Xenopus tropicalis: one gene and its partners. The protein of the gene in region 1 interacts with the protein of each later gene in a biochemical or structural test. Links are inferred from orthologs where the notes say so. Each region holds a gene or a part of one and is shown in the gene's direction. Other genes may lie near its edges.

Region 1 (3,162 bases):
CCAAGTCTGATCTCTTTTATACTAGACATACATAATCAAGTGCACATTGCAGACTGTACTGGCTTCTAAGCACCAAGGCCACATACATGTGAGCAGATTGCTGATCAGTAATACAGTATGTGGATTTTATATGTGCTCAGTATCAACACACAAGGGGGCGGATTTATCAAAATGTGAGTTTAGAGCTCAATACATAAAAACTCACCTGTGTTCTATTCATTCCTATGGGATTTTTAAAAGGGTATTTATCAATAGGTGAAATTTAGAACTCACAATTTGATAAATACACTTCCAAAACCCCATAGGAATGAATAGAACGTGGGTGAGTTTTTATGTATTGAGCTCTAAACTCACATTTTGATAAATCTGCCCAAGGTGTCAGTACTATTAGAGGCATATCAAACCTTCAGCTATTCAGCATCCTGGTGTTTAAACCTGCAATAACGTGCAGCCTGGGTATTTAGAATGGTTGAGAAAGGTTCAAAACAGCTGCAGGGCCTGTCAGTCTCCAGCACTGGCTTTAGGCTGAGATCCTGTTGGAAATATGGAATGTAAACGTACATTAATTTCCCCATCTTTCAAAAAGTGCAAGAAGTATTCAGTTACACCTTTCTAAACATACTTGAATGATACAACATAGCTGAACAAGCAAAGTGTAAATGTGGGTAACAGCATTTCAAAGACTGTGTAATATTAAAACAATTTGTTTATTTTTGTGCAGGCTGTAACCTGAAGATATTTAATAACCAGGAGTTTGCTGCTCTTTTGGCTCAGTCAGTAAATCAAGGCTTTGAGGCTGTGTATCAGCTCACTAGGATGTGCACCATACGCATGAGTTTTGTCAAGGGCTGGGGAGCCGAATACAGGTTGGTGTTAAAGAAGCCACATTTTGCCTCTATCTTGGTCTTTTTGCTATCCTTATTTGTTAACAGTAGGTTTGTGCTGTTTGTAGCATTGCTGTAAGTCATAACCTCCAGAGGGTGAGCATAGTGTGGATGTTAGATGTAGTTTATACATGGTATAGCATTGTATAAAGTACTTGGTCCTTTTGACAAAGACCAGACTGTTCACAGTGCTATTAATGTAAGCTCCTGCCCAGGGTGCATTTAAAGGGGTAAAGATAGAGCTATAAACAGTTTTTCCCCAGTTCCAGCATCCTTTCCCCAAAGATAAATACCCAGTGCCATATTTGTTTTTAAAATTTTCGTGTGGATCTGCATTGATTGAGTATTGGCCTTGCATTTCTCATTAAGTTAGTTAATTCACACCACTAGTGGTAGTCCACAGCATGCAGGAAAACATAAAAAGGTGTGATAGTTGAAGAGTAGTTACCAGCAAACCTGGTAATGTTTCTGACTGGAGTACTGTTCATCTTGATATTTTGTACATTAGCATTATGTAGCATGTTTTGAACTGCAGTCTTTACAGAAGAATTGTCTTAAATTGTTAATAAAAAGCCATGGCATGGTTTCAGCACTTCTGATCAAGCTTCCTGCAAGAATCAGCAAACAGCAAATGTATAGGGAACTCCTAGGAAAGGTGAACATAGAAAAGCCCATGCTGCTTAACCCAAGGAAAGAGAATCATAGAAAAGCTAATGCTGCTCAACCCAAGGAGAGAGGATCATAGAAAAGCTAGTGCTGCTCAACCCAAGGAGAGAGGAACATAGAAAAGCTAGTGCTGCTCAACCCAAGGAGAGAGGAACATAGAAAAACCCATGCTGCTTAACCCAAGGAGAGAGGAACATAGAAAAGCCCATGCTGCTTAACCCAAGGAGAGGGGAACATAGAAAAGCCCATGCTGCTCAACCCAAGGAGAGAGGAACATAGAAAAGCTAGTGCTGCTCAACCCAAGGAGAGAGGAACATAGAAAAACCCATGCTGCTTAACCCAAGGAGAGAGGAACATATAAAAGCCCATGCTGCTCAACCCAAGGAAAGAGGAACATAGAAAAGCCCATGCTGCTTAACCCAAGGAGAGGGGAACATAGAAAAGCCCATGCTGCTCAACCCAAGTAGAGAGGATCATAGAAAAGCTAGTGCTGCTCAACCCAAGGAGAGAGGAACATAGAAAAGCTAGTGCTGCTCAACCCAAGGAGACAGGATCATAGAAAAGCTAGTGCTGCTCAACCCAAGGAGAGAGGAACATAGAAAAGCCCATGCTGCTCAGTCCAAGGAGAGAGTAACATAGAAAAGCCCATGCTGCTCAACCCAAGGAAAGAGGAACATAGAAAAGCCCATGCTGCTCAACCCAAGGAAAGAGGATCATAGAAAAGCCCGTGCTGCTCAACCCAAGGAAAGAGGAACATAGAAAAGCTAATGCTGCTCAACCCAACAAGAGAGGAACATAGAAAAGCCCATGCTGCTCAATCCAAGGAAAGGGGATCATAGAAAAGCCGCCCATGCTGCTCAACCCAAGGAAAGAGGATCATAGAAAAGCCGCCCATGCTGCTCAGCCCAAGGAGAGAGGAACATAGAAAAGCCCATGCTGCTCAACCCAAGCAAAGAGAAACATAGAAAAGCTAATGCTGCTCAGTCCAAGGAGAGAGGAACATAGAAAAGCCCATGCTGCTCACCCCATGGAAAGAGAAACATAGAAAAGCTAATGCTGCTCAACCCAAGGAAAGAGAAATATAGAAAAGCTAATGCTGCTCAACCCAAGGAAAGAGAAACATAGAAAAGCTAATGCTGCTCAGTCCAAGGAGAGAGGAATATAGAAAAGCCCATGCTGCTCAGCCCAAGGAAAGAGGATAATAGAAAAGCTAATGCTGCTCAGCCCAACAAGAGAGGAACATAGAAAAGCTAGTCCTGCTCAACCCAACAAGAGAAGAACATAGAAAAGCCCATGCTGCTCAACCCAAGGAAAGAGGAACATAGAAAAGCTAATGCTGCTCAATCCAACAAGAGAGGAACATAGAAAAGCCCATGCTGCTCAACCCAAGGAAAGAGTATCATAGAAAAGCCGCCCATGCTGCTCAACCCAAGGAAAGAGGATCATAGAAAAGCTGCCCATGCTGCTCAGCCCAAGGAGAGAGGAACATAGAAAAGCCCATGCTGCTCAACCCAAGGAAAGAGAAACATAGAAAAGCTAATGCTGCTCAGCCCAAGGAGAGAGGAACATAGAAAAGCCCATGCTGCTCAACCCAAGGAAAGAGAAACATAGA
Region 2 (3,500 bases), on another chromosome or scaffold:
ATGCTAGTATCTTTCTCACTCTCTGAGGGCATTGAAAACTGGTATTTAGTATCCAGTGACATAAGATAAGTATAATATATACATAATCTGTATATGTGTGCGCATCTTAAAACACAAATACCAGACCTACATAATCTCTGCTGCAAAGTGGTTATATAGAAAGAATCAAACATGGTGCGGAGCTTCTTTGCCAAACAAAAACAGCAGCAGACATTTATTGGTACAGATTTTGAAGTAAGCCCTGGCTCTCCAATTATTGCTAACCTATCAGTGACTGCATCCTCCAAACCAGTGTGTGACCGACAATGCTGGGAGTTGTAGTCCAGCACCACCTGGATAGCCACAGCATGGCTATTGATAATATATACACACAAACATTACAAAGGTAGTATGACACACAGAATTTCTCTGGTCTGTGTAATAAGCCACAACTTTGTGCATGTGGATTTTGTGTGTCGTGTGTCTGTAGCTCTGTCACTGAGGTGTACATGGCTGGTGCTATGTGCAAGGTAATTCTTTCTTCCTCTGTCTTGGCTGCTGTTCCCTGCTCCAGCTCACACAAAGAGACTCTGTCTGTCGCTCTGGCGCAGGGGCTGCGGTTTCCTCCTGCAGTTAGGAGCGGCTCCTTGGCAGTGAATCTGTAGTACTGTGCCTGATTCTAAGAGTGGACAAGCTAAGCCGAATCCTTGTACCAGCAGGGCAACAGAAACCATGCTTTTTTCCCCTGTGTTTTCTCCCTGGGTTGTCGCTCCCCACTCTTTTTTTAATATCCCTGTGTTAGTGTGGAACTGTAACCATAAATGCCACTGTTTGCATATGTATATGCCATACGGTTTTTCTCTTACATTGTAAATGTTTCATGTTTGCATGCTTCCCTCTAAATCCTTGCTGTGATTGTGTTAATGTTGTAGCCCTCATCGTGTGTGTCTTGTTGAAAGATGCATTGGTTGGTTATGTGTTGCCTATTTAGTGACCCGCTGTCGCCTGATCTGATGCAGGCTTTTTGTTAGTCTGGATAAATAAATGTCCTATCGGGACAGTGTGCAGTGATTCTGTAGACAAGGCACCCACAGTGTCTGTGACAGAGTATGGAGTGGCTCAGATGTTGGTGCCAGTTCTGTACTGGAGCTGGATGTGCTACAGACTTTGGTCTGACGACACTTCCAGTTAAAACCTCAGTTTCAGACACTCCACAGATTACATGCATGGTCACATTTGGCAGATACCTTAGTACTTGTTTGTTTTATTTTTTTCATTGGCTTTAATGCTAAGAACAGTTAATGTTAAAAGAAGATAACTTTTTCCTTGGTCATATCTGCTGTCACCCCATGTCCTTTAAACATATTCCCCAATGGGAGACTCATCATTTTCAACATGAACTGAATGTAGGGATTTTAACATTTACACTGAAACAATTATTCACCAATGAGCTGCCACGTGACTTTGGGTATTTAAAGTTCCACATGCTTGGAAATGTTTGTATTTTTTAAATCAGAACCAAAATACATCCTTCCATTACAATACAGATTTGTGGATGTATTAATACTCTGTTCTAAGCCTGGTGTGTGCTGCCCTTTCCTGCCCCTGCCACACACTCACTGTATACAGTGCAGTGGTCAGTCCTGTGCTTTGTGTTTTAGGTGGGAGCAGAGAGAACTGAGCAATGGACGGGTTTACTACGTAGACCATAACACCAAGAGCACTACGTGGGAGAGACCCTTACCCCTCGGGTAAGACCCCCACCATACCAGTTAATGTAAACCCCACCAAGCTGTGTCATTGCCTCTGTGGTATATCTATAGGAGTAATCTTGTTAAGACACCAGAGCTAGAAATTTGTCTGTAGTGCTCCAGTCTAGCTTTTTTGTCTTTTATGCAGCTGGGAGAAACGTGTGGATAACAGAGGTCGTTTCTATTATGTTGACCACAATACTCGAACAACCACATGGCAGAGGCCCACAGCAGAATATGTCAGGAACTATGAGCAATGGCAGTCACAGAGGAATCAGATGCAGGGTGCCATGCAACAGCTGAGCCAGCGTTTTCTGTATCAGGTGAGAGTGCAGACGCCCCCAAAGGTTAGGAATTAGCAACGGCAGGCCACACAAAATACACGTGGTTTTCCATCCCTTGCATGATGGTATTGTTACCTGTGTGTTCTTGTGTGGTAGTGTAATTGCTTCTTGTCTACTAATACAGCTCTGAATTTTTAGAGCATATTCAAAAGTTTGAAAACATAATAAACACTACTGTAATGGCATGAAATGGGTCTCTAAAGAGAATTCTAACCTTTCTTTGGTAGAGAAGCTGTTTAATGCTTTGCATTAGCAAAGAGAGTTGTGAATTTGTCCTGAGATGCCCATTATGTCAACAATGTAGTTTTGGGAAGAGGGAAGGACAACACTTGTATTGTTGGGCACAATGGTGAAATCACAGGATTTGGACTGGTAGGACATTAGAACATATAAAGTCATTCCTCCTAACTATTTTAGCACGTGGCATCTGTCCACTTCTCCTTCGCCAGACAGCTAGAGTTTTTATTAAATTAGCTGTTTTACTATCTTTAAGAGAACATTTTTAGGGTTTGATACAAACTCTCCACAGTGGAGCCTGGTCCTCATTCCCTAGAGGCCTCTGAGCTGGTCAGAGAGGGGGTGTTATATAAACATTAGCACGCCACACGCCCCTTTTGCACCTCCCAGCAATTTCACACCCCCCCTTTACACACCTCCTCCTTCCCACTAAGCATCTCCTCACTGCAGGAGAAGAAAGGTACATTGTGAGCCAGGATCTAAGGGAAGGGGGGTGCAGCTCTGCCTATAAGTTGCTGAATGTTCTTCAGTTTGGGTTATTCTTGCACACCGCTCTGCCAAGGGACGGGCTTGATTGGGAGGGGAGGAGGTGAGAGGGGGTCTGTGTAGAGGTGGGGGGGTCAGGATCTAAGCCCAGAGCTGGGAAGAGCTGGGCGTTTACTGGTGGCTTGTGGGAATGATTTCATTTGAAAGGCCTGCAATATTTTCCCCTCTGGTTTAGGAGCAAGTCGGACGTGTGAGTGCTGAGTCCAGCTAGGGACATCTGATGAGCACATGGCATCTCCTGCTCAGCTCACTATCACTCCAGCAGTCATATGTCTTGAACCATTCTATCACTAGGGGGGAAATTTGCAGTTAGCTATTTGCTTTCCCACACCCTCACACTATCCATTGCTGTTTCTCTGTTTGCAGCCCTCATCTGCTGCTCCTGACAATGACCCGCTTGGACCGCTACCCAACGGATGGGGTAAGTGAAAGTGCATTCTTGAATGGAGCTGTATGTGTGACCCTTTTCAGCTGCATAAATTATTGTACAGCTGACAAAATGATTGTCCTATATGTCTATAATTATTATAGGAATATAGGAAATTGTCTCTCAGTATGATGTGAAAATATGCTGATTTAAAAAATTACTTCTTTTTATATACATTATATAGTTATATTGGTCCTAATAAGGTTTCTAGCTATG
Region 3 (4,229 bases), on another chromosome or scaffold:
ATTAACAACCACCCTCTGTACCCGATCCTGTAGCCAGTTTTCTATCCATGTGCAAATGACTTCACTAAGACCAATAGACCTTAGCTTAGAAAGCAGTCATTTGTGTGGAACGGTGTCAAATGCTTTGGCAAAATCCAAATAGATTATATCTACTGCATCCCCACTGTCCAGCTTCTTACTTACCTCATCATAAAAAGCAATTAAATTGGTCTGACATGACCTGTCCTTCATAAAGCCATGCTGATTACTGCTCATAATGGCATTCTCCACTACATAATTTTGAATGTGATCCCTTAACAAGCCTTCAAATAACTTGCCCACTACGGATGTCAAACTTACAGGCCTATAATTGCCAGGCTGAGATCTTACTCCCTTTTTAAATATAGGCATGACATTCGCCTTCTTCTAATCGGTGGCCATTCATGCAAAGATCTGCTTGTTTATTATTGCCCACCTTGAGGTGGGCAATAATGAACTGTAATGCAGGCCTTCGGGTGAGGACCACATCAACAAGCCAAAAAACTATCCGTCCAATTTTCGCCCAGATATTGGTAGGGCAGGCCCTTTGGAGGGTCTTATACGTGGACAGAAAAGCTGCCATCTCAGTCTGAAGGGGCAGAATCTGCCCATGTATACACAGAAAGGTAGTCTACAGAAAGGTATTTTTGGATGTGTTTTTTTTTATCCGCAGGCAAAAAAATGCCCCATGTGCCAGTTCCCTAAATGTCATGCAGTCATGGGGCATGACAAGCACTGGACAAGTTTGCATACAGGCGTTTTTATTCATCCTTTTTTTTCCTATGTGCCCAGGCATGTACCATTGCCATGCATTTTCTAGCAGTTGGCTTGGCATTGTGTGGCCCTGCATATTAATAGTGAGTGTGATATTCTGTGCCTGTGCAAGTTTAAAGACTTTAAAGATTTAAAATGTACCCCAAATTATTATTATTATTAACATTTATTTATAAAGCGCCAACATATTCCGCAGCGCTGTACAATAAGTGGGTTTCATACATTGGGCATACAGAGTAACATATAAAGCAATCAATAACCGATACAAGAGGTGAAGAGAGCCCTGCCCAAAAGAGCTTACAATCTACAAATTGAAACTTTATATATTTGTATGTGAAAAAAGAGACAGATAAAAGGACAGTATATAAATATATGGCAGGAAAAATAATAGCCTTATGTGGGGGAATAGTTGAGAATTACCTTTTCACCTTTTGTATAGCATTATCCCCTTGCATTCTCTGTTTATTGAAAAAAGAAAAAAAAACACCCTTCCTCTTTTGTAGCCAATGGTTTTACGCATGAGAAACACGAGATTTATTTTGCCTTCGACAGACAAGTTTTTTTTTTCCGCTTTGCAGTAGAAAAAAAAAAAAAAAAAAAAAAAAAGGCAGCAGCAGCGGCAGCAGAAGGAGGAGGGAGGGGGTGGAGGTTGTTCCTGGAAGAGCCACAGCCTGGGGAGTTGGTCACATTCTTGGCTGGGATTCAATGACTGAGGCAGACACCAACAAACAGAGAGAAAGGGGGTGGAGAAGGGAGAGGAAGAGGGGAGGGAATGAGGGAGGGGGAGCGCAGAGCGCAGACAGGGTGCATGAGGCAGGAGGCATTCAGGCAGTGAACAGCACCGGGAAGGCAGCAGCCTGTGTGTATGGGAGGCAGAGCCGAGCTCTCCCCTAACCTCCAGCAGAGCAACATGAAGGGGAACTCGTGAGCCGGAGCCGCTGCTGTCCCGCCCGCAACTTCCCACAAACGCAGCCGCAGCCCCCTCCCCCCTGGGTACTGAGGGAAAGTTCAGCCGCGTTTGTGCCTCCTCAGCGGAAAGTGACAGGGACTCGGAGTTAGTGAGCTGGCTGGGACGCTATGGGCAGGAGGAGCCCATCTCGGCACTGAGCAGCTCCCAGCTGGATGAAGCGCTGTGAGTGGCAAGGGATAGCCCAGGAGAGAGTGGGCACAGCACGGCTATATGGAGGCTCAGAGAGCCCACTGAGCGCCACTGTGGATTGAGAGTAAAGCCCAAAGGCAGCGATCGATTGACCTGCGCGGAACTTGCCCCAGTGAGTGTGAGTGGCTGCTCCGAGTAGTGTCGGGGAGCTTTCAGGCATGGAGACCGTGAGCCGGAGCAGCTTCCAGCCCCATCCCGGGCTCCAGAAGACCCTGGAACAGTTCCACCTGAGCTCCATGAGCTCTCTGGGCGGCCCGGCCGCCTTCTCAGCCCGCTGGGCTCAGGACATGTACAAGAAGGAGAGCGGCAAGGAGCCCCCGGAGCCCGTTCTACATTTACCCAGCCAGCCGCCCCCAGTCATCCCCGGGGGGCCCCTCTTCATGCCCTCAGACCGCTCCACGGAGAGGTGCGAGACTATTCTGGAGGGGGAGACAATCTCTTGCTTTGTGGTCGGAGGCGAGAAGCGCCTGTGTCTGCCCCAGATCCTCAATTCGGTGCTGCGGGACTTCAGCCTGCAACAGATCAACGCCGTGTGCGACGAGCTACACGTGTATTGCTCCCGCTGTACGGCCGACCAGCTGGAGATCCTCAAGGTGATGGGCATCCTGCCCTTCTCGGCGCCCTCCTGTGGCCTCATCACCAAGACGGACGCGGAGCGGCTGTGCAACGCCCTGCTGTATGGGGGCAGCTACCCGCCCCGCTGCGCCAAGAAGAGCGACTTCCCGCCGGGACCCTTAGAGCTGGAGCTGACCGAGAGCAGTTTCAGGGTGTACCATGAGTGCTTCGGCAAGTGCCGGGGCCTGTTCGTGCCCGAGCTGTACGGCCACCCCAGCGCCCCCTGCATCCAGTGCCTGGACTGCCGCCTCATGTATCCCCCGCACAAGTTCGTGGTGCACTCGCATAAGGCGCTGGAGAACCGGACTTGCCACTGGGGCTTCGACTCGGCCAACTGGAGGGCCTACATCTTGCTGGCCCGGGATAACCCCGGGGCCGGGGGAGAGGAGGAGCAGGCTAGGCTGAGCCGGCTGCTGGAGGAGATGAAGGAGAAGTTCGACTACAGCAACAAGTACAAGAGGAAAGCAGCCAGGGTGAGTAAGTGGGGTGGCTACAGGTAGCCTTCATTACCTGGCCAGCTTGCTTTGGTCTGTTTCTTTGTCTTATCTGAGGGCTAAACCATAGACTTTAGTAGCGGTGTGCTACTAGCCACTTTTCCAACAGCAGTTATTCCCAGAGAGAAATTTTCTTTTCAATAAAAGATTACTTGAAAAGTTTAGTTGCTTTACCCCAGGAGCTGTAGAGTTAAAAACCTTACGGTACCAACAAGGTGATGGGAATTGCGGGTGTGTTTTTCTTTGGCTTGAATAATGGTATGTCTTAAATTGTGGCCTGTTGGTGCTGTGTATTTCTGCGGCTGGCCCGCTAATTTCTGGGCATGTGCCCAGCTGTGCCATTGCCTTACGTGTGCCTCAAAACTTTGTACCCTCCCAAGCAACTGTATTTTGTATGGAAAGTATTCTGCAATATTGCAGGAATTGACTTGGTTGTTAATCCTTTATCCCATAAAAGTAAAGCCGTTAGATACTGCCTGGGTAAGCATATATAGTGAGCGTTCTTGGCATTGGCAATTGCCAGCGCATGGTTGATCAACATTACTGAATGTCGCCCCCATTTCCAGCTGATAGGGAGATGAAGACAAAACTTACATACAGAGTAGAACAGGAATCGCACAGTGGGTACTCCCAAGCTACGCTGGCGTCTGTTCCTTTAACTGAGAGCAAGAGATCTATGGCCATGCTTGGAAAGGTAATTAGGCGACAGGGAAGAGCACATCACCCTGTAAGTGGCATTTAAAGTGACCTGATGGTAACCCTGCTTCAAGTTCAGTGCTGATCCCGCGGATGATACTTGGTGCTCTTTATAGCTGCATCTCTTGGTTACAGCAGGCTATGGAGATAAGTCGTACATTTGCAGATCTGACAATTTTGTATGTATGTACTAAACAGGTGCAGACAGTTTACATCCCCTTCCCCCCATCCTAGTGCCTGCCTATGTAGCTTTAAAGGTGTTGACATGTCAACTTCGGCTTCAAGTGCGGACGAGCCGTTCTGTGAGCCGCCTTCCTCTTACCTTGATCTTTGTACCCTTTGGGTTTTCTTGTTACTCTTGGAAATGTGTCATTAGTTTATATGTTACATATAGAATGTACGCTTCTTTGCCAGTGAATTGCTGTAGCCTAGGTGCTTGGATAGAAGTCGTACTATATTTGGGTACGTTGCCA
Region 4 (3,500 bases), about 17 Mb from region 1:
CGTGAATGTGTACATAAAAGTATATTTGGTAATGTAGAATTGTGTTGAAACAATTTGAAAATTGTCAGTAACTGTTTCTGCATGCATGGAGGAGTGTATTTCCTAATGCTTACCTGTCACAAAATTGTATTCCTGTTATGCTCAATGCTGAGATTCTTGCTAGCTTTATTAGAAGTACATCCTTACACAGTACATGACTACACTGTGCTCCATAGTTTTTTCTTTACAAAGATCATAGCATTATACTGTATTCGCTTTCTCTGATTTTAGTAATCATTATGTACTACATCTGTTTAATTATGTTAAAGTGCAACCAGGCTGTAGATATGTAAACAGTAGAAGTTTGCTAACCACAGTCCAGAAATGAAGGCTTATCCCATAAAACATTTTTACTTGAGCTGCATCATCTTTTTATACCTATTGTATTTTTCTGAATTAGCTCCAGTTCCAGATTCAAGTATAATTTTGGCTTTTTGTGCCATGGCCATTAGAAGTTTAAAAAGAAAAGATAATTCCAATTTAAATGTATTAAAAAATATTAGTGCTTTAAAAGTTATTTGTAAATGTAATTGCTATAGAAAGCAGCATTTGCTGAACTCCATGTTGTTACTTTTTAAACAGTGTTGCAAGTGCCAGGCTCCTCCAGCAAGTCAGGTCTGTAAAATCTGCTGCCTTGTGTTACATTGTTTCAAACGCCAGAGCCACTAGGGCAGAGTATAGAAAGGACAGGCAGATACTCCTTAATAGCAGTTATATATACAAATAACTAAAAGTTCTCTTTTATAAGGCAAACAATTATTACTACGGCAACATATCCTCCCAACCTTCCACTATTTCTGGGAAATTTGGAAAAATAAAATATGATGATTTATTTTTCCCATCAGATTGATATTCCAAATAGGTTTGAAATGAAGTTACGTCGTACAGCCATTCTTGAAGATTCCTATAGAAGGATTATAGCTGTAAAAAGGCCAGAGTTTCTCAAGGCACGTCTTTGGATAGAGTTTGATAATGAGAAAGGCTTGGACTATGGAGGAGTGGCCAGAGAATGGTTCTTCTTGATTTCTAAAGAAATGTTCAATCCTTATTATGGTCTGTTTGAATATTCTGCCACGTAAGTATATTCAGTGACAGTTTGCAGTTATGTATAAAACAATGTATGCATTCTGACAGTTGCTAGGAACACAGTGGTTGTGAATTCCAGAGGTTCTGAAACACTGGATATATATATATTTCTGGTTCTTAATTTGTAAATATGGCAGGCCCTGTATGATAATTATTTATGATATGCTTAACCCTATGGGATAGCATAGAATTATCTTTATTTTCATCTAGCTTGTTTAGGGTGATTCTTTAGAAAAGCTCTGCCCATCTGCCCTCCATTGGCCCCCTCACCTCTCCCAGCCCACGCAGTCTATGTAATAAAAAAGTGCCCCTGTTTGAACAACTTAAATAAAAATGCAGTGCAACACAGTGGAAATTGCAGGCACCATCTTCACTCCCTTTTGATCCTTTTCGCGTCTCTTTGCCGGAACTGAGCTTGTAGAAGTATGCAAAAGGATCAGAAGGGAGTGAAGATGTGCCTGCAACCTCTGCCATGCTGCACTGTATTTTTATTTCAGTTATTCAAACAGGGGCAATTTTCTATAAAATAGACTACAGGGTGGAGAGGTGGAGGGACTGATGGAGGACAGATGAGCAGGGCTTTTCTATACAGGGGGGGGGTTTGTTCTGCATGCATGGCACATAACCATATATTTTATTTAAAAAAAAAAAACATTGTAGGAACAAAAACTGAAAGTAAACCATATTTGTAAATAGGTTATATTTTACTTATAGTATTTCAGTTTTGTGATTATCTATTGTCACACAAGTTCACAAGACTAATGCCGCTCTCACTATAATATACAAATTTCACTCAGAATAAAAACAGTCAATTTATTTTTATATTATTAAAAAAAAAAAAAAAACAAGAAAGGTGCTAGTGAGGAGTGGAGTGAAATGCATATTAGTTAGTCCTATAAATGGGCTCTAGTGGGTTTGTTTTAAATTCCTGCTGCTGCTTCCTGTAACATTATACCAGTAATTGCTTTGAGATTCCTATACTAAAATAGCTTACTACTTATTTTATTTTATAAAGATTATTTGGGAACTTGGACATTTGTTTTTTATAATGAAAAATCTGACTTGGCAAGATTTTTTTATTTTACTTGGTTAAAAGTTTGAATTGTATTCCAAAGTATTGAAATAAGCAGCATTGTGTAGTAATGCAATAAATTCTGAACCTGAAGAGCATTTTCCAAATACTAGATTATAAACTCAGGCAATGAGGGATGAATATACATGTCTTTAAAATGTTTTTTCACTCTATATAGGAAGAATAAAAAGTAAAAAAGAGAAGTTTCTGGCAGTGTCCCTGCTACCAGAAGAATAGTTAAAGACAGTTTTTCAAAGAGTTGATTTCATACTTACCACTGTAGGAAGTAAAGAGACACTTATTTGTCATCATTTAAATGATGTTTCTTCTGGAATGTTTTCCACTGAAACTTTTTTATGAATGTAACTTATTTATTACATTATGTTGATAACTTAGGCAGCTTTTTCAAAAGATTTTCATTGTTTAGCCATATGTTTTTTTTTTAACTTATTTCATTGTTTTAACAGGGACAACTATACTTTACAAATTAATCCTAATTCTGGTCTGTGTAATGAAGATCACCTTTCGTATTTCAAGTTTATAGGCCGCGTGGCTGGAATGGCAGTATACCATGGAAAGCTTCTTGATGGTTGGTTTTATTCTATGTAACTCAAAATGAAGTCCCGACAATCATGTTAACAATTAAATCTCACTGCAGGTTAGGGGCAGATTTCATAAAATCAGATTCTCAGCTACAGATTAGCAGTGCCATGTTGCACAAGGGCTGCTTGCTGAAATTCACTTATGCTGTAGAGCAGGGGTGGGCATAATTTTTGGCTCAGGGGCCACATTGACTGAAAATTTGACAGACGGGCTGGGCCAGCTTTACACCATTTCCGCTCGTCAGTCCCCAGACGCCAAGTCTCGCGTGATGAGACTTGCGGAGTTGGAGGGCAAGATAAAAAAGACCAACGGGCCGGACGTGGCCCATGGGTTGTAGTTTGCCCACCCCTGCTGTAGAGCTTTAATGCATGGTTGTAAGAGAAAAGAAGCAAATGTAAATTATGGAGTTTTTTCTTTTTAGATATACCAAATCTTTGGTAACTCTGCAGCCAATGCCTATGATATAGCCATGTAATGATAGAAAATACTTTTACATGTCTAGAACATGTAAAATAACATTTCTTTAGAGTAACCAACAAGCTGTTGTTGTTGTTGCTTTTATTAGCTGATGTGCTTTTGGGAAGTCATCCAGTCTGACATTAGCGTGACATCACAGCACTTTTTAAACCGATGATAGTATCCCTTTAATGCAAATCAAACTGTCTGTTATTAAAGCTGGATTTATACTGTATCTAGACTT
Region 5 (3,500 bases), on another chromosome or scaffold:
GAACCTCAATCTCTGTGCCCCCCTACAGAACCCCAATCTCTGTGCCCCCCTACAGAACCCCAATCTCTGTGCCCCCCTACAGAACCCCAATCTCTGTGCTCCCCTACAGAACCCCAATCTCTGTGCCCCCCTACAGAACCCCAATCTCTGTGCCCCCTACAGAACCCCAATCTCTGTGCCCCCCTACAGAACCCCAATCTCTGTGCTCCCCTACAGAACCCCAATCTCTGTGCTCCCCTACAGAACCCCAATCTCTGTGCCCCCCTACAGAACCCCAATCTCTGTGCCCCCCTACAGAACCCCAATCTCTGTGCTCCCCTACAGAACCCCAATCTCTGTGCCCCCCTACAGAACCCCAATCTCTGTGCTTTCCTGTCGTTTCCCTAATGAGCTGCTCCTCTCTGCCCCATTTTAGCTACATTGGCAAATCTGACTCCATTACCATCAGTGTCTGGAACCACAAGAAGATCCACAAAAAGCAGGGTGCTGGCTTCCTGGGCTGCGTACGGCTTCTCTCCAATGCAATTAATCGGCTGAAGGACACTGGCTGTGAGTATGGGCATGCACCCCCTCCCCGGCGCCAGGCTTCTGTCCAGTAGAACCCCGATTTTACCTTTCCCTTGGTATCGCAGCAAAACTGCGTAACATCCAGGGACCACAAGAAACTACATCAGTTCCACAAAAATGTTAAATCAGCCTGCCTAAAATCGGGGTTCTGCTGTATATCCATTTATATGTACCTGAATCCGGGACTGCCCTGGTCATGTGGTCTGCTTAATGAGGATTCCTTCACTAATGCAACATGGCACCTCCTACCCATATGTATAACTACAAATATGCAGAGAAGGAATGTTCTGGGCACACAATAAGCTGTACCCCCATACTGTACTGTCTAAGGGAATCACTATGGCACCCCCTACCCATATGTATAAATACAAATATACAGAGAAGGAATGTTCTGGGCACACAATAAGCTGTACCCCCATACTGTACTGTCTAAGGGAAACACTAGGGCACCCCCTACCCATATGTATAAATACAAATATACAGAGAGGGAATGTTCTGGGCACACAATAAGCTGTACCCCCATACTGTACTGTCTAAGGGAAACACTATGGCACCCCCTACCCATATGTATAAATACAAATATACAGAGAGGGAATGTTCTGGGCACACAATAAGCTGTACCCCCATACTGTACTGTCTAAGGGAAACACTACGGCACCCCCTACCCATATGTATAAATACAAATATACAGAGAAGGAATGTTCTGGGCACACAATAAGCTGTATCCCCATACTGTACTGTCTAAGGGAAACACTATGGCACCCCCTACCCATATGTATAAATACAAATATACAGAGAGGGAATGTTCTGGGCACTTAATAAGCTGTACCCCCATACTGTACTGTCTAAGGGAAACACTATGGCAGCTTCCACCTCTATCTATGAAGTATGTGTATGGCTATACCCTGATACTGTAACTTATGATAGTGGCTGTCGTTGCACAAAAGTCATTGTAACCAGATTGTATGTTTGTGTCCTTTCCAGACCAGAGACTCGACCTATGCAAGCTCGGTCCCAATGACAATGACACTGTGCGAGGGCAGATTGTGGGTGAGTTGATATTAATTAAGTTGTGATTTCATGGACCAGATTTCTAAGGAAATGGGGATGTGAGGTGGCATTTTATTTCATACCATTTATGACAGAAACCGCACAGAGGTTTTCCATGCAGTTACAGTTCTCTCGAGTTATGTAATGGATAATAATGTCGGATGTGCCAATATAAGGGGCAGTGATTGGCTCTGTAAATATCCTTAGTTCTGACTGACTGCCGGCAGGGTTCCTGACCTTGCCAATTAGTGTAGCTGAAGCCAAAGCTGTCCCTCTGTCAGTGCCACCAGCATGCAGCACCATTTATTGTGTGTTCAGCACAAGAATAATTCCCAGGAATCTGGTAAGAAGTGTCGGATAGAGTGTAGATATGCCGGGCAGGGCAGTGAGTATAATGGGGGCCAGTAGGTAGAGGATGCAAGTGTCCCTAAACGTTCCACATCCCATAATGACTTTGTTACTGTGTGAGAGAGTCTCAGGCACAGACAGTCACACACAGTTGGGCATCTCATTACAGAAAGTTAATGTGCAATTGTCTGTTGTGCCTTTGCAGTCAGCCTGCAGTCCAGAGACAGGATAGGCAGCGGCGGGCAAGTGGTCGACTGCAGCCGGCTTTTCGACAATGACCTACCGGATGGGTGAGTTTCTCGTGGGATAGAGGCACGGGCATAGAGGAGTATGGGTACTGACCGTGATGTGCTCATGAGTGGTCTCTGCTAGCCTTTTGCAGCTTTGATTGGCCCAGACACGAGTCTGGAGAAGAATTGGGATGAAAGCTTTGGCTGCCAAGGGGGATTTTTGGACACCACAATTGCTGACCCGTTTATTTCTTTGCAGTCGTGGCTTGTTGTGGCCATGGCTGTTGTCTGCTAAGTACATTCACTTATGTCCCTTCTGCCTTTAGCTGGGAAGAGCGGAGGACTGCCTCTGGCCGCATCCAGTACCTGAATCACATCACAAGGACGACACAGTGGGAGCGCCCCACGCGGTAATGGAACCTTGTTTATACAATATCCGCTTTCTGTTACACTGTTGAACCACATTGGCTCTAATAAGCCAGTCTTGTTAGTCCAGCAGCCTCCTGTGTGTCGTCTTAGAATAATATGACGTCTCCCCCAAGCGTTTGGGTGTGTCTCCTTATTATAGAAGCCTTTCTTAGCCGGATGCTAAAGGCTTCTGACATTTTTATATGGCAATTACTAGATTATACGAGCTGTTTGGTGGCTTTTGTGTTACTCTGGAGTTATCCTTGAGTTTTACACGCCCCAGTGCTGCTTCTGTGTAATTTGCAGTCTCCCATTACCCTATGCTGCTGCTTCAAGAACAGGGAACTGTTACTTGGTGCCTAGAGATGTGCTGAGACCGGTGTCTCCTATCCGTAGGCCTGCGTCGGAGTACTCCAGCCCCGGCCGGCCGCTCAGCTGCTTTGTGGATGAGAATACGCCAATAACCGGGACCAATGGTGCTACCTGTGGGCAAACCTCAGACCCCCGCATCGCAGAGAGACGAGTTCGGTCCCAGCGGCACAGGAATTACATGAGCAGAACGCACTTACACACTCCTCCAGACTTGCCAGAGGGATATGGTGAGCTGCAGAGTTTATCTAGAAATCTATTCATTACCGGTAAAGCAGTTATTGGCCATGCTGCCCATTTGGGCTTCTATCGCCCCTCACTAGCAGAAATCCCACTGGTTTGACCAAGAGTGTGTAGGGCCAGGCACTACACAACGGTATTCCCGGTGTCTCATTGTGCACCGCTGTGTAATACTATTTGTCTTGTGTCTGGGAGAATGAGTGATTTCATGGCCTTTTACTTTTGTCTACAGAACAGAGAACTACACAGCAGGGCCAGGTGTATTTCCTGCATACACAGACGGGGGTC
Region 6 (4,225 bases), on another chromosome or scaffold:
GTAACCCCCCCCCCACATTGTTTTTGAACTACAGCTCTGACTGCTGAGCCAAACTTTTAAAAAAACTCTCATAATGCTGACAGTCACTCTAAAGATGGCATGAGCTGTGACCCAGCAACAGCTGGCTGCTGCAATTTCAACATTTAGAACTACTGTGTTTTAAAACACGGTTCATTAAGTATAAAAAAAGAAATACCACATCCCACACACTAAATACAATTTTACTACAAGCTTTAAAAATAATCAAACACAGGGTGGGAAAACCACAAAATAGTGTCATAGGATAACAGTTGCAACAGGTCACCTAGACACCATCACAGCATGGGCAATGAAAATCATTTCCACTGAAAAAAACTGGGAGAAAATAAATGGGATACAAGGCATCATCTGCCTATTTATTATCTTGTGTCATTGTTTGTATGAAAAGTTCTAAGCATAAGAACCAGACTGGCAATCAGTAGATTCTGGCAAATGCCAGAGGGGCTGCTGTTAGATGCCTCTAGGTTAAGGTGGCCGATTCTACACGGCCAATTCTAGCTGCCGATATCGGCCCCTTAGACCAATTTGGCAGCTTATCGGCCCGTGTAGGGGCACTAACGACGGGCCTGCCCAACTGATATCTGGCCTGAAATCTGGCAGGTTAAAAAATTTAGTCGGATCAGGGACCGCATCAGCTCATTAATGCGGTCCCCGAACTGACTTTGCCTATACCCGTCGTTATAATTCGATCGTTTGGCCCAATTAGCCTGGATTCTCCTGATATCGCCCTCCCGTAGGTGGGGGATATCGGTAGAAGATCCGGACGCTTGGCGACATCGCCAAGCGAGCGGATCTGAAAGTGTATGACCACCTTTAGTCTCTATTTTATTACATGAATGGCTTGATGCCTGTAGCACTGGATGCCTCTGGCACTGGAGCTGCGGCACACAATGAGGGGTTAATGCCATAAAGCCTTTTTAAAAAATCCGACTGCACACCCTCATTCCCCAAAATATTGCTGTGGGGCAACAATAGTTCCTTCAATCTAAATTCCAAAAGGATTGGTTCCTAGGATATATATGAGGTTTCGAAGTGAGCATAAACAATATATCTAGTCAGAACGGGCAGGAAGACACACCCCTTTGCCACAAACCTTTGCCCCCAACCAAAGTATTTCTATTGAGATACTGTATTCCTAGGCTTCAAAGTAAAATGTCAAGTTCCGACTGCTGCCAGGTCAAAGCAATGCAGCAATGTGAGTCAGTTTCTTTTTTTACATGGCATTTCTTGCAAATCAAGCTCAATCCTGATATAGACATGAGCACACACACAATACACTCTCAGCCTGCTGGGCTCAGAGTACACTAAAGGGGCGGGAACAGCAGTATGTGACACGTTCTCATTTCAGCCTTCCTGGCTAATGGGAGGCCATATGCAAATAGCTGTCCCAGCTTGTGCTCAGCAAACCCAAACAGCTCTCAGATAGGTCTGTATGGTCCCACAGTGAAGTCTGCTTGCTGCTGCTGCTTCTGCTTGAAATCCACTTATAGCTGCCACGCACTCTAACACCTTGGTCTGGAGTTAGCGCTGGGCTTTAAACTCTCCAATGTGGATTCTGTAACTATCAAGTGGACCCAGAGGAGATCCAGCAAGAATGAAGTACAAGGTGAGTTCATAGCTAAACTGTATGTAGCTGATTTAGCCTTTTTCTTTGCTGTCTGCCTGCTGCAACGTGTACATGTAAATTCTGCATGTACTGCCACAATGTATATAGTTGGGTATAATGCTGTGAGCAGGCTCCATTACACAGGATATTCATGTTAATGAGCATGTACATTCCCTAGACTTACTCTAGACTTAAGGCTTTGTGAAATTTAAGGAAAAATGTGTCTTTCTCCCAGACAAGACCTTATTTTGCATGGTAAATTTACTGTGCAGGGAGGGCGTTTAACTGCTGGTGGAGACTGCCAGACTGCTTTATATTCTCTTCCAACAGGACACACTAATCCAGAGCAGACAGTAGTGTCTCATTTGAGAGGCTCCAAGCCCTGGTTATTGCTCTTCATTAATGATACAGCTCTGGATGCCTCCCAGCAGTGTTTTGGGGAATGAGGGATTGCAGTCTGACTTTTTAATGAGGCATTATGGCAAAGGTTAACCCCTCATTGTGTGCCACAACTCCAGCCCCAGAGATGGTCGCTGCAGGCATCAAGCCTTCATGTGAATGCTAACAAGACCAAAGGCTTTCTCTATTCAGAACTTTTCATACAGAAAATGGCACAGGATAATAAATAGGCAGATACTCTAATGCATTGTATCCCATTTATTTTCTCCCAGTTTTTTTCAGTAGAAATGATTTTCTCCCAGTTTTTTTCAGTAGAAATGATTTTCCCCACACTGTGATGGTGTCTGGGTGACCTGTTGCTACTGTAATCCTACGACAATGTCTTGTGTTTTTTCCCTGTGTGTTCCTTTGATTAGAAGTGATTATTTTTAGCTTCTAGTAAAATTGTATTTAGTGCGTGGGATGTAGTACTTCTTTTATTTATGCTCAATGATTCCTTGTTTTAAAACACAGTGGTTCTGAATGTTGAAATTGTAGCAGCCAGCTGTTGCTGGGTCACAGCTCATACCATCTTTAGAGTGACTCTAAGCATTATGGGAGTTGCAGTTCAGCTGCAGTTCAGCAATACCTTGGGAAACATGTATTGCTCATTTCTGACCTTTCTTTGTACAGCACACATTCTTGTTTCTTTGCATACCCTATTCTTAATGTCTAAAATGCCTTAGCACTGTCGTCCTTGAGACCCATAAGCTGTATGTGGTCCTAAATGTGACTTTATTATAGCCCCTAATCTGCTACAAGGTTCCATCAGTCTCTTTGTATGACATAATAATTATATTATATATTATAGCCCCTTTTTGTATGACATCATAATTATATAATATATTATAGTTCCTAAACAGCCTTTATAAAAACAGCCTCTTACAGAGCGAGAGCTGCATTAGGATATAACAGCAATTATCTGTCACTCCCTAAACCTCATCCACTGCTGTATTTAGAGCAGGGCAGAGAGGGTAACCTAAGAATAGACCCCTTGAACAGAAAACATTATAAGTGAAAAATACAAATGACATACACTGTGTAACTCCTGATTTATAGTTATAATTTTAAGAATTGCCAACCTCTGGCCCTCCAGTTGTTGCTAAAGGTCCCCATACACGGGCCGACTATAGCTGCCGATATCGGTCCCTTGGACCGATTCGGCAGCTAATTGGCCCGTGTATGGGGAGAGCAGAGCGGCCTGGCCGACCGAGATCTGGCCTGAAATTGGCCAGATCTCGATCGGCCAGGTTAGAAAATCCGGTCGGATTGGGGACCGCATCGGCTCGTTTATGCGGTCCCCGATCCGACTGCCCCATTGCCGCCCACATAATCCGATCGTTTGGCCCCAGGGCCAAACGATTGGATTATTTTTTTTTTAACCTAAATGCTCCCCGATATCGCCCACCCGTAGGTGGGGATATCGGGGGAAGATCCGCTCGCTTGGCGACATCGCCAAGCGAGCGGATCTGCTGGTGTATGGCCACCTTAACTCCAGAAATAAAGTGTACATTTGTGGATAATCTGTATGTACCACAGTCCACAAGAAAGAATCACTCCACTCTCAGGGGAAACAAACATTTTTAATTATTAATGCATGTACTGCCATTGCCTAGAGACTTGTGAACTTTGCTAGGTCAGAATTCACATGTAGCAACAGGCTGCATAAAGAGGAATCTAGCATTTTAATGTAGAATGCATAAATCTCCCTGAGCCTGACAGTGTTTCTAGTGGGTGTTGTTAGCTCTCCTCTGGCACAGTAAGCCAGCTGAATTAAACCAGTATTCTAATGTGCTTATATTAGACCTGAAGGATTTGTTTACAATACCTAATCGTAATTGGTACATAAGGTTTTTTTGGCAACTTACTTGGGGTTGCAGTGTTATAGGTCCCATAGCAAAATAATTGCATGACCCCCACCCCAAACCTTAAAGGAAACTCACCAATTTTACATTCAAATATTCAAATAAAAAAATTGTTAGAAATGGCAGGGCTACACTGTGCCCCCCTGCACTCTTGGGTCCCTATAGGTGCTGCTCTGATTAACTTGCCTTTCCATAATAAGAATGCAGCCCCTTTGTGCAATCTTAATGACTGCCTGTCAGCAGCAAATCAAGCAGTAATAGGACATGCTGTTTCTCT
Region 7 (4,082 bases), on another chromosome or scaffold:
CTTACATTATGGTTTCTCTTAATGTTTTCCTGTACCATGTGGATATACAAAAAAGAAATGTTGCTATTTAACACTTTCAGCAGCTCTTCATGAAAGATGTCCAACTCAGTTAGGGAACTATCCTCTGTGGAGGAATGGCTGGGTATCATGGAAGCTGTAGCTCAGCAGCTGTTAAGAGTGGGTTTAATACTCAAGATCTCTATCAATTTCTAAGGATTTTCTATTCACTTTGGTGATAAACCAAATAGCCTGCCTGCTCTCTACCCATAAAAGCCAGTCTCCGTTCTCATGGATGCAACCTGATCTCCTGTAAACTTTTTAAGCCTCCCCAGCGCTCCCCCTACCTCCTTCACCCTGCTTCCAATCATCCTTTTTTTACTTTCATCAACGCCCACATCATAATCTACACACCCACCCACCAATAAACTCCCTCCCCCACCAAATTAAAAAAAAAAAAAAAAAAAAAAAAAAAAAAAAAAAAACTTTCCCTCACCTTTTCTCCCTGGCTATCCACCCCAGTGCAGAAAGGCATGATCATTAGAATGTAGCACATGCCTACACAACACTGGGACCCTTTTAATAACAATGATGCTATACAGCCTTACATGTTCTCTGTCACTGACACTGGTGTATCTATGCAATGTTGCGATCCTCAAGCTCTTGTTGAACTCCTAGTCACATACAGCCCCACCCCCACACACGGACCCGCAATGGCCGGAGGGCTGCAACTTGGTCTCCCCCGTGTCCTACACAAAGTAAAACAGCGAAGAGAACAATAACTATAAAGCCAGTAAAACTATACCACACTAATAACATTCTACCGAAAATAACCAGTTGTTTCAAAACTACAACTCCCAGCAACCACTACCACATTTTAGTTCGGCAACTAACAAACAACATATTGAAAAACCTGCCATACTGATCGCTTAAACCTGTGGAAATAATCTGTTTCAACTCTGAGTTTTCAGTTTCACCAGCCGACAAACACAGCCCAAGTCCTCCGGTTCCTTATGTGACAGACAACCATTACAACCATATCGCGCTTTGCTAGGAAAGGGATGAGTCTCCTCCGCGGCTTACGACTACCATACAATTGCCTCAAGCCCCTGTCCAGTACCAGGGGGTGAGCGGAACAGCCCTTATGGCGGGAAACCCACGTCAAACTACCATCCCAACTACCAAAGCAAGGAACGGGCACCGCCAACAACAATACGTCAGCCCACAATGCCCAGCGGCAAAGGAGCATTACCTCATCCCATGAGCCTTCGCGAGAGTTAGAATCTTCTAGGGCGGTCGTCATAGCGACCGAGGCTCATTTGGCCTCGCTGGCCCGCCTCCCTTCCCAAGGCTCAACCAATAGCAGGACGTTGGGGTGACATCATGTCTATTTTTAGTGGGTGACCGCTCGCAGATAAGTGTTAGCTGCACGCTGTCCCACAGCCCAGTACAAGTGAGTAGAGCTCACACTGACAGCACTTGTGGCGCTTGGGGAGAAGGAACGTCTAACTTCTCAGTGACTTCTTCCTTGTGTCCGTGTGCCTGACACCTATACTGGGCACACGCACACACCCAGCGCTCGCCATTACATATCTCCGGCGGCGCTTTGGAAACTTTCCCGGGAGTTTATAAGAACTTTTGTGGCGTTCGGAGTACGAGGACCTCTTTGCTGCTAGAGACACAAAGTAAGTCGCATTTATTTCTGTTATGTGCCAGGCTGGGAGCAGTTGTGCTTGAACTCTCACTACGGGACACTGCCAGTTGTAGTTCGGCAGGCGAAGCATAAGTTCCATTTAGAAGAGGGGTGGAGGTGCCATGGGGTTCGGTGTGTCAGCTAACAACCTGTTCGCTCTTCTCTCTAGGCTGGTGCTGGTGTCACACTAACGTAAGGTCCAGTCATCGTCCCTGTCCGGCATCCGTTCTATGACTGCAAGGATGGAACCTACTTTCTACGAAGATGCCCTGAGTGCTGCTTTCGCCCAGCACGATGCTACTCCCTATGGTTACAACAAGGTGCTGAAGCAAAGCATGACCCTGAACCTGTCGGACCCCAGCAGCGCCATCAAACCTCACCTGAGAAACAAGGCAGCTGAACTGCTCACCTCCCCTGATGTTGGGCTTCTCAAGCTCGCCTCCCCGGAGTTGGAGAGGCTTATCATCCAGTCCAGCAATGGCATGATTACCACCACCCCGACCCCCACCCAGTTCCTGTGCCCCAAGAATGTCACAGACGAGCAAGAAGGCTTTGCAGAGGGGTTTGTTAGGGCACTGGCAGAACTCCACCATCAAAACAACTTGCCAAGTGTAACCACTGCCACCCAACCTGCCAGCACGGGACTGACACCTGTATCTACTATTGCTGGAAACACTGGCTTCAACAATAGTCTTCACAACGAGCCCCCTGTGTATGCCAATCTAAGTAACTTTAACCCAAGTACCATCACCACATCATCGCCTTTTAACAGCAACACCATGGGGTATACCGGCCAACATCAGAGTAACCCACCAATACCCGTGCAGCACCCCAGGTTACAGGCTCTGAAAGAGGAACCACAGACTGTACCTGAAATGCCTGGGGAGACTCCTCCACTGTCCCCTATTGACATGGAGTCCCAGGAAAGGATAAAGGCTGAAAGGAAGCGTATGAGGAATAGAATCGCAGCATCTAAATGCAGAAAAAGGAAACTGGAGAGGATTTCCAGGTTGGAAGACAAAGTTAAAAACTTAAAATCCCAGAACTCTGAACTGGCATCCACTGCCAACATGCTTAGAGAGCAAGTAGCCCAGCTCAAACAAAAAGTCATGAATCATGTCAACAGTGGGTGTCAGCTAATGTTAACACAGCAGATGCAAACATTCTGAAAAGGCTTCTTTGGGAAAGAGATGTGAGAATTATTTTGTGGAGGGAAATAGTTTCATGTTGAAACTCCCTGGCTCAAAATGAAAGGCACTGAGACCTGACTGTTCTACGTGCGTGTGCGGGGAGTCCTGACAAGCCTTTAGGTGGAGCCTGTGGCAATGCAACAAGCAGTATCACTTGTCAAGTGCTGTTCCTGCTCTAATGAAACATCAGATACATGTTTAACATTGACCAAGACCTGCATGGACCTAACATTCGATGATCATTCAGTATTAAGAAAAGGTTAAACTGCTAGAGACACTAGATTGCTTCCGTAGTTTTCTTACAAAGGGAGGGTGTGGGAGGGAGGCATACGGGACATTGAAAAGTAAAATTAATGACAAATCTGCCTGCCTTCTACATAACTGTGTATGTGTACATATTTGTTTTTTTTATTATAATATTAAGAAAAACTGAATTATTTCAGTAAAATTGCTTCAAGCATTTGTAAGTTATTTTTATGTTTGGGTTAATAAACCCACTACTTTCTGTAAATAAGAGATATTGAGCACTCTTGAGTTTACCATTTGTAATAAAGTATAATAATTTTCTATGTTTTTGTTTCTAAGGACAATTCCAGACGTTCAATTATATTTAAGATATTAAATAAAAGATGTGGAAATTAGATTTTTTTATTTATATTGATATTTTTTTTTACACTGCAATAAACGTGCATGTTAAACTATCTCCTGTGTATAGTACTTGATATATTGCATGAGTCTATTCAAGGGTATTATATTTTGACAATTATTTGATATGGGTATTGGGCAATATAAAAGTAAAAGCAGAAAAGAACATACTGACCAATATTTTCTTTATATCATAGCACTTGGGGTTATTTATATATGCTATTATAAAGTTCTGGGCTTTTGGCAAGAGTTTGCTGCTGTTATTATATGTTTGAGGGGTTAGGAATGGTTTACAGTATTCTCCAGCCTTATTGGCTAAATAATCATTTCCAAATTGTGCACCACAAATACCAACTGGTTGCCAGCCCTCTTCAATTTTACAAATTGATAAATAGTTGCTTTTCCTAAGTTTATTGAAAAAAGAAAAGTGTAACAAATTGATATAGTAGTAGTAACTAAAGTAGCTACTGATGAGAATATACCAACTAATTTATTAAACTGTAGCATTTTAGAGTCCTTGTTTCTTAAGGTGCTACTGGGAAACACAAGAGGTGTGA

Evidence for each region.
Region 2: of the proteins of smad3 (region 1) and wwp2, one has a biochemical effect on the other in vitro, tested with the Homo sapiens proteins (2 studies listed by BioGRID). The link is inferred for Xenopus tropicalis from reciprocal best matches to the Homo sapiens genes SMAD3 and WWP2.
Region 3: the proteins of smad3 (region 1) and ski form a complex in vitro, tested with the Homo sapiens proteins (8 studies listed by BioGRID and IntAct). The link is inferred for Xenopus tropicalis from reciprocal best matches to the Homo sapiens genes SMAD3 and SKI.
Region 4: the proteins of smad3 (region 1) and nedd4 interact in a test that uses a peptide from one of them, tested with the Homo sapiens proteins (3 studies listed by BioGRID and IntAct, with this or other methods). The link is inferred for Xenopus tropicalis from reciprocal best matches to the Homo sapiens genes SMAD3 and NEDD4.
Region 5: the proteins of smad3 (region 1) and smurf2 form a complex in vitro, tested with the Homo sapiens proteins (2 studies listed by BioGRID and IntAct, with this or other methods). The link is inferred for Xenopus tropicalis from reciprocal best matches to the Homo sapiens genes SMAD3 and SMURF2.
Region 6: the proteins of smad3 (region 1) and nedd9 form a complex in vitro, tested with the Homo sapiens proteins (2 studies listed by BioGRID). The link is inferred for Xenopus tropicalis from reciprocal best matches to the Homo sapiens genes SMAD3 and NEDD9.
Region 7: the proteins of smad3 (region 1) and jun form a complex in vitro, tested with the Homo sapiens proteins (3 studies listed by BioGRID). The link is inferred for Xenopus tropicalis from reciprocal best matches to the Homo sapiens genes SMAD3 and JUN.

Annotation. Positions count from the first base shown.
Region 1 is NC_030679.2:117,418,039-117,421,200, forward strand, and holds part of smad3 (mothers against decapentaplegic homolog 3), read left to right. Parts: intron 1-721; coding exon 722-866; intron 867-3,162. UniProt on the Homo sapiens protein: Receptor-regulated SMAD (R-SMAD) that is an intracellular signal transducer and transcriptional modulator activated by TGF-beta (transforming growth factor) and activin type 1 receptor kinases.
Region 2 is NC_030680.2:60,884,277-60,887,776, reverse strand, and holds part of wwp2 (NEDD4-like E3 ubiquitin-protein ligase WWP2), read left to right. Parts: intron 1-1,640; coding exon 1,641-1,730; intron 1,731-1,878; coding exon 1,879-2,053; intron 2,054-2,848; exon of another isoform or gene 2,849-2,900; intron 2,901-3,223; coding exon 3,224-3,278; intron 3,279-3,500. UniProt on the Homo sapiens protein: E3 ubiquitin-protein ligase which accepts ubiquitin from an E2 ubiquitin-conjugating enzyme in the form of a thioester and then directly transfers the ubiquitin to targeted substrates.
Region 3 is NC_030683.2:91,255,255-91,259,483, reverse strand, and holds the start of ski (ski oncogene), read left to right. Parts: upstream 1-1,429; 5' UTR 1,430-2,109; coding exon 2,110-3,039; intron 3,040-4,229. UniProt on the Homo sapiens protein: May play a role in terminal differentiation of skeletal muscle cells but not in the determination of cells to the myogenic lineage. Functions as a repressor of TGF-beta signaling.
Region 4 is NC_030679.2:100,487,319-100,490,818, forward strand, and holds part of nedd4 (E3 ubiquitin-protein ligase NEDD4), read left to right. Parts: intron 1-884; coding exon 885-1,114; intron 1,115-2,664; coding exon 2,665-2,786; intron 2,787-3,500. UniProt on the Homo sapiens protein: E3 ubiquitin-protein ligase which accepts ubiquitin from an E2 ubiquitin-conjugating enzyme in the form of a thioester and then directly transfers the ubiquitin to targeted substrates. Specifically ubiquitinates 'Lys-63' in target proteins.
Region 5 is NC_030686.2:51,451,021-51,454,520, forward strand, and holds part of smurf2 (E3 ubiquitin-protein ligase SMURF2), read left to right. Parts: intron 1-415; coding exon 416-549; intron 550-1,551; coding exon 1,552-1,617; intron 1,618-2,170; coding exon 2,171-2,255; intron 2,256-2,521; coding exon 2,522-2,605; intron 2,606-2,999; coding exon 3,000-3,202; intron 3,203-3,444; coding exon 3,445-3,500. UniProt on the Homo sapiens protein: E3 ubiquitin-protein ligase which accepts ubiquitin from an E2 ubiquitin-conjugating enzyme in the form of a thioester and then directly transfers the ubiquitin to targeted substrates.
Region 6 is NC_030682.2:90,788,457-90,792,681, reverse strand, and holds the start of nedd9 (enhancer of filamentation 1), read left to right. Parts: upstream 1-1,425; 5' UTR 1,426-1,633; coding exon 1,634-1,645; intron 1,646-4,225. UniProt on the Homo sapiens protein: Scaffolding protein which plays a central coordinating role for tyrosine-kinase-based signaling related to cell adhesion. As a focal adhesion protein, plays a role in embryonic fibroblast migration.
Region 7 is NC_030680.2:86,738,427-86,742,508, forward strand, and holds jun (transcription factor AP-1), read left to right. Parts: upstream 1-1,415; 5' UTR 1,416-1,920; coding exon 1,921-2,859; 3' UTR 2,860-3,582; downstream 3,583-4,082. UniProt on the Homo sapiens protein: Transcription factor that recognizes and binds to the AP-1 consensus motif 5'-TGA[GC]TCA-3'.